2 linked regions of the Caenorhabditis elegans genome follow. The protein of the gene in region 2 purifies or fractionates together with the protein of the main gene of each other region. This does not show direct contact. Each region holds a gene or a part of one and is shown on either strand. Other genes may lie near its edges.

Region 1 (3,975 bases), on a different chromosome or scaffold from region 2:
ATCGGATTACGACCATCAAATTTATGTGGAAGTAAAATTGTATGTGCATATAGGTAGCCATCTTTAGCAACCGAAGACGGAATCTTCACTTGAAGCTGAAAATAAAATATAAAATGAGGTTATTCTATATTTTAGAAAATTACATCTTTCTGGAAGGCATCGGCAACTTGCAAGTTTTCAACAGTCGTGATAAGTGTCTCCAATGCATCTCTTTTCGTTGAAAAATAGACTCGAAGCTGTAGTAAATCGTACAATCCTTCGTGGTTGGGTTGAACAATTGGCTATAAAATGTTATTATAGTTTTGCCTCAATCGAAAAATTTACCGAATAGCACAATTCGTCAGAATCCTGATCTGTACATAACTCCGGAGTGAAAAGCTTATAAAGTTGAAAAAAGTTGTAGAACATGAAACTGAGGAACAGTGTGCTCACAATTTTTGTCAGGTTTATCTCCATCTGGAAAAATCACTTTTTGAAAGAATTTTTGAGAGATTCATCCAAATATTAATATCCGGTGAAAACGGAATTTCATGATACTTTCATTAAATACAAATCGGAGAATTTCAAAATTTATTCAATGAGTATCTAAGAAAAGTTCACCAGAAAAAGTAAGAGAAAATGAATATACTACAAGTAAATTGAGGTATACAACCAAAGTGATGAAATATTTAGAGGGAGATATGAGGAGATCAGAAACGCGTTAAAGAAAATGGTAAAATAAAAATGAATGGTGATATTGAAAAATGTAAGTATTTCGTTATAATTCAAAAAGTTAGAATATTGCTCATATGTCTTTCCTTGAAGTACACATTTCTTTTTGGTACAACTTCTGTTTCATTTTTCGGAACCATCCATGAAGTCATTCTTTTGCTTTGTGATTTCCCTTCTTCCTCGTCATCTTCCCAACTGCCTGGAACACATCTCTTCTCAACGATAGTACTGGCTGTTTTCCAGGATGATCGAACGAGTGAGCAGAAGCCGAAAACTGGTTCCACACTTAATTGAAGGAACTTCTTTGTGTTTGGATCTGAAAGAAAAATAATAAAATATACTATTCATAAAATAAAAAGACCTCCAGGATATCCACTTCCATATCCAGCATCTGGAACTTTAATATTTTTCTCTCTAAATTGCCAATTTCTCAAACGCGAGTCTCTCGTGACTTTGGCGGCAATGGAAGCTGCACTGACGATAGGAAAAAGTGAATCAGCTTTTTCAGTCACGCAAATTGAAATTCCGGGAAATAATTTCTCGAGTTTGGCTTGATAAGTTGCTTTCGGGCCAACTGTGTCCACTTTGATCTGAAAAATAGTATACCTTATATTTAGCTTGTATATATTTTCAGGAAACCTCCACTACATTCACATTGCAAGCTAGCGCATCTCGAATCAAAGTGATCGCAGCTTCATGGGATACTTCATTCAACGAATACTTTTGTCTTTTGAGCATTGAGCAACTGATCAATTCAGGGGAAAGACATCTGAGAGCATATGCTATGATCTGTTGGATGTCTTCGTCTTCATTCATCTTGTTGAAGATTTCTTCACGTTTCGCCTCGTTCAACGCTTTTGAATCGTCGACACCAAGATTTTTCAACTCTACATTTTGATCAAGTGGGGAAATCGCTGCTGCGTAGACCATAGGACCGAGCACTGGACCTAAAATTTGGATATATTAGATTACTGAATTATCAATTATTGACTATTATTTTCCACAAACCTCTTCCAGCTTCATCAATGCCCAAAACGCACGGAATACCATTCCCGAAATTGTTCCACGTTTTGCTTCGTTCAGTTTCACACTTCAGTGACATTCTCTGAGAGAACAAATATTGTAAAAAAAATAAATATCTATTCATATAATACATTTTGAAGGTTAATTCAAGAAAAAAAGACATTGAAGTGAATAATGACATAAAATAAATAAAAATCGTGGAAATAAAATTCAAATTGTGATGCGGCCGAGCTTTTTCTTTATGGTATGCAGATACGCTCTATTGACAATAACTAGGAAAATTCGGTCGCGAACAACACTTGGACAATATTACTGTACCCCACATATTTATATGCACAGAAAAACTTTCAAACGTATAATTAGCTATCACTAGCACTTTATGACGTCGTTCGAATGATTTTGAAAAATCAGAAATTAAAAAGCAAATACAACAAATAAGCTGATGGATAAAATAAACGTTTTAATAGGTTATGAAAGTATACATTACAATAAATACGATTTTCTAGTGTGTACCGGTTCCTCAAGGATTCCGCACCTCAATAAAATATTTGACAGTTTTAGATCTTAATTTGCTATGAGTATTATCAAATACGAATTTATATACTCCAGGCTCCGCAGCACACACTTCTCCATCTTCCGGAACGAAGTCTGTTTGAAGTTTGAATTTTGGATGCACCATGTAGTCATCGTCATGCTCTGCAACTTTCTCTTCACCTTCTGCTGCTCGAAGAATCGAGAAATTGATATCGTTATTCTCCAGCCTCCACCACCAATAAAGTTTTCTTCCTGGTACATTTCCTTCGAGAGTAATGGGAACAAATGTTGTCGAACGAGCAGAAACGTTGAGTTTGGTAAGCTTCTCAGCTGGAAGATCGTTGGCCGGGTCATACCTAAAAAACAGGATTATTTTTCAAATAAATTTTCCTCTGCAAAATTACTTCAATTCAGCAGGAATCTTGCCACCCATTCGAACATTTCCATATTCAGTTTCAGCCTTTCTAGTTCCACCCCATCTTTCAAATAGCACTTCTTCTCCAATATTCTCCTTCAAATGTTGTTTCCAATCGTTTCCCAAAATCTTGACTTTCTGTTGAGTTTGCTTGGCAAGACATGGCGAGATCATACTCCAGAGTACTTGAATAAATGTTGGTGTATTAACAATAAATATCTTACGAATTACATCAGGAAACATCTCCTGAAATTAAACAATTCAATTTTTAATACGACTAATCTGGAAAATGTACCTGAAGCTGCGAGAGCATGGTAGTCACAACCTTCAAAGCAGCCAAATCAATTTGAACCATTGAAAGTCCGTCAAGATCGAAAATGACAGATGTTCCCAATGGTTTTCCTTGCTCTTTTTCCATTTTTCTGAAAGTATAAGTTCTAATTTTTCATTATTATTACAGTAGTCTACATCTTATTTCGCAACTAATGTTTCTTAATCTCTGGACAAAATATAATTTTCGGGTATTCGATATCAGTGTTCTATTTTTCAATTTTTCTCTTCCGCTATCATATAAGTCACAGAGTAAACAGTATTCCAATCACTTTTGCCACACAGACTAGAGTGACGTTATCTTGAACTACGCATACCTGATAATTTGCATGACTCCTTCACTTTCAGCAATTCTCATTCTGTATAAATCCGAATTTCTTGTGGCTGGCATGAGACCGGCTGCGTCAAGATGTCCAATCATTTGAAGAGAGACCACATTATTCTCATGATCCAATCCGATTAAAGATCCAGGAAGGTATCGAAGTGGAACACTACAATCATCACATTTTTGTGCCACTTTTTCCAGTGTTGAGAGATCTTCTTGGTCAAGTCCAAGTGCATGAATGGCACGAAGTGAGAACTTGATTTTTGGAACCACAACATCTGAAAATATATCTATTTCATTTTACAATTTTTTCGAAATATTTCAAAACCATCATAAAATTCATAAAAAAAACATTTACAGTTTAAACAATATTCCAAAAAGTCTTACCAATTTTTCGATCCCATCCGATTAACCATCTCATAAGTGAAAAATCATCATCATATTCTTTCACTAATTCTAATTCTTTATGAATCCTTTTTCTGAGTTCATCGAGAAGCTTACGATCACTTTCAGTAATTTCTCCAGTACTTGTAGACATCCTTTCACCTGACAATCGTTTTTTGGTCAATTTCATTTTTTTTGCTAGAAGCTGGTGTGAGAGAATAATAAAAAGTTAGAAATATATAATTGTTATCAA
Region 2 (3,079 bases):
GAAAATCCACGTCATAAATTTTTTATGACGTGGATTTTTGCAGAAACGTTTCTTTTTTTTTTGCTTTTATTTCTTTCAAAAACCATGAAATTTCCAGCTTTTCCAACTGAACTTCCGATCTTCGACCTGAACTGCAAACGCTAGAAATTGCAAAAACCCCCTAAAAAAGTATGCAAAAAACGAATGGTTTAGCACCCCGCGGGTGCAATAAACGTTCCAGTATAAAAGATTCCCAGTTTTTGTCCGAAAATCCATCATCCACCACTTCCTCAACATGTTCCGTCGTGTCTTCGTCCTCATCGCTGTAAGTTTCAATTTCTTCAGGATTTGTGTAAACCTAGAACATTCCAGATCCTTCTCCAAATCTTCATCGCCTCTGCCGATCACGTTACCATCAAGGCTCCAGTTGCCACGTGCAAGGTTGATAAGGACTGATTATTCTTTGTTTGAATAAATGAGAGCATTCGAAACTTTTTTAAAAAATCTGAATGAGGACTCTAAAGCAGACAAATCTGACCACGTGGCTGCAAATATTCGAGAATCGATTGAAAATCCCACTACTAGGAATCCGTACTAGAGCCTTTTCGAAGGAGAAATACTGTTTTCAAGGGAAAAACGACAGAAAATTCGAGTGAAAGCAACCTCTGAAACAGCTTCTGTTCTCCCCCAACCTCGAAAATCAAAACCTTTTTTATTAAAGGTAACAACAATTTTATTGAATCAACAATACTTATTCCTCGCTGTCAACGTTGACGTTGGTGAGTCCGTGGAAGTTGGTGCATGGAACGTAGGTGCAGAGGGTGTAGAGCTTTTGAGCGGAGTCCTCATCCTCGTTACGGCGGCGGGAGAGACGGACACGAACTCTGTATGGAACGTTCTTGATTCCCTTGGACCAGATGAACTTGTTGAGCTTGGTGTCGACACGCACATCGTTGGTCTTCATCTGGATCTTGGCGAACTTCTTGATCTCGTCGATGGCACGTGGAGCACGCTTCTTGGATCCGCTGAAAACGCATTATTGGATAAGAACTTCGCAAAATCATCATTTTTACCTCTGATTTCCCGCTATATTTCAACCGAATTTGAGGATGCCCCTGAGATCTCCGTCCGATTCTCGAATGAGAAACGAACGGCGTTTCTGGAGAGAGCCACTCACCAGAAAACGAGGCGGGTAAGCTCCGTTAGTCCGGCCACCGCGGTTCGGGCTAGAACCTGCTCATTAAAGAGCTGCGATGACAGGCGTGGGCCAACACACCGCTTCCAGGTGGAGCACGTGTTAGCATGTGAGCAGGAAATTTGAGCGAAAGATGGAAAATAGTGTAAACTTACATTCCTCTGATGCGGGCGTGGATGTGAATGGTGTATTCACGGGTGACGACCTCGTTGATGGTGCTGCGGGACTTCTTCTCGTTCTTTGGAGCCATCGCGACTTGACTGGATTACCTGAAAAATCTTAATTTTAAAATTAAACTAGAAACTGAGAACACAAGAATTATAAGGAAAAATGCATAAAAATCATAGTAGGAGCTTTATTTCAGAGAGAAAACATGATAATTATACGATTTACACATTGAAAAAATATTTTTTAAATGAAAAAAAATAAAAATTTACGAAAAAATCACAAATTTCCATTGGAAAAGCGTAAAAATTTTTAGGATAAAAATGGAAAACTCCATTGCAATTCCCTAATCGTGGCGAGACCCATCGAGATAAATCCATGCGCCTTTAAGAAAGTTCAACGGAGCATACTTGCATTATTTTTCTTTTGTGTTTATTTTCGCCGAGATGACTCACAAAACGGGACGATTTGTACAAACAAAGACCAAATTTTTTATTTCCAAATGCTAAATTGCTGATTTCCGAAATCGGCGTGTTAGAATTACAAAGTAAATAGTGGAAAATTGCCGGAAAACTACTGGAAAAGTGAGTTACAACTTCTTCTTGACTTCAAAAAAAAATCGCTTTGTTTTCAGATGATAATTTACACAACACCAACAGCTTTAATACTCGAAGAACAAGGAGAACGTGTGGAATTTGATCGCAGAAATGGGAAAGTACTGGAAAAACCGGAAGAATCGCTGGAAATCCTCGATCAAGATGTGGTTTTGTGCGGAAACGTCGAGTTTTTGATCGGAAAAATATCGTTTGACGAGCAGCATTTTCTGTTTTTCGTCGTCGATAGTTCGGTGGTAGCGTGTTATAGAGGAACGTCAGCCGAGAGCTCCCATTCAATCCGGAGAATCGAGCGGGTTATCGCGATAAATGTGAAATCCGATGGCTCCGTGATAAAATCTCAAATCACCCCGGGCTCCGGCACTAAATTAAAGCAAGGAACCGAGAAAATAATGAAGTTTTTCGCGGAAAAAGTGACAAAAGCCGAGCCCCGTCCGGCTTTACTGGATGATGTGCTCAAGCTGTTCAATGATTCGAAGGATTTCTACTTTTGTCGAAGCCGTGACGTCACAATATCCTCACAAAAGTATTTCGAGAAGCGTGAGGCTCATACGTCGGAGGATTCGTTTTTTTGGAATAAGAGGATGGTGGGAAACCTGGGAGAAGCCAAAATTTCCGATAAATTCACATGCCCAATTATGCAAGGATATGTGGCCACAAGTCAGCTGGAAATTACGGATCAGGTATTAAAAAATCCCACAAATTAATTAAATAATTAGATTATTGAATAAATTTCCAGATAAACGCCTATCTGACAATCACAATAATTTCCCGACGATCTACCCGCCGCGCGGGAGCCCGCTACCTACGACGTGGCATCGACGAGGCTTCCAACGTGGCAAACTTCGTGGAAACTGAGCTCATTTTGAACATTTTCGAGCATGAGCTCAGTTTTGTGCAGTGCCGCGGCTCGATTCCCGTATTCTGGTCTCAGCGTGGCTTCAAGTATCGCCCACCGCTAATTATCAATAGATCTGTGGAGGAGACGCATGGCGTGTTCACGGAGCATTTTAAACGGCTTAAAGCCCACTACGACACTCCTCTTGTGGCGGTAAGCCTCGTGGATCAACGTGGCAGAGAGCTTCCGCTGGCTCAGAGGTTTCTGGAGCATTGTGTGAAGGCCGAT

The links. Proteins that work in one complex are often made in the same cells at the same time.
Region 1: the proteins of rpl-31 (region 2) and rnh-2 fractionate together in Caenorhabditis elegans (co-fractionation; one large-scale study listed by BioGRID). This does not show direct contact.

Annotation. Positions count from the first base shown.
Region 1 is NC_003280.10:8,514,991-8,518,965, reverse strand, and holds rnh-2 (Ribonuclease H2 subunit A), read right to left. Parts: upstream 1,817-3,975; 5' UTR 1,814-1,816; coding exon 1,720-1,813; intron 1,659-1,719; coding exon 1,351-1,658; intron 1,302-1,350; coding exon 1,073-1,301; intron 1,028-1,072; coding exon 765-1,027; 3' UTR 559-764; downstream 1-558. Other genes in the region: T13H5.8 (Lipid scramblase CLPTM1L), read right to left, coding at 1-95, 144-281, 325-456; ctg-2 (CRAL-TRIO domain-containing protein), read right to left, coding at 2,255-2,624, 2,673-2,929, 2,979-3,105, 3,331-3,616, 3,726-3,912. UniProt on the Caenorhabditis elegans protein: Catalytic subunit of RNase HII, an endonuclease that specifically degrades the RNA of RNA:DNA hybrids. Participates in DNA replication, possibly by mediating the removal of lagging-strand Okazaki fragment RNA primers during DNA replication.
Region 2 is NC_003279.8:13,652,262-13,655,340, forward strand, and holds rpl-31 (Large ribosomal subunit protein eL31), read right to left. Parts: upstream 1,444-3,079; 5' UTR 1,425-1,443; coding exon 1,330-1,424; intron 1,005-1,329; coding exon 731-1,004; 3' UTR 688-730; downstream 1-687. Other genes in the region: sac-2 (SAC domain-containing protein), read left to right, coding at 1,974-2,636, 2,693-3,079.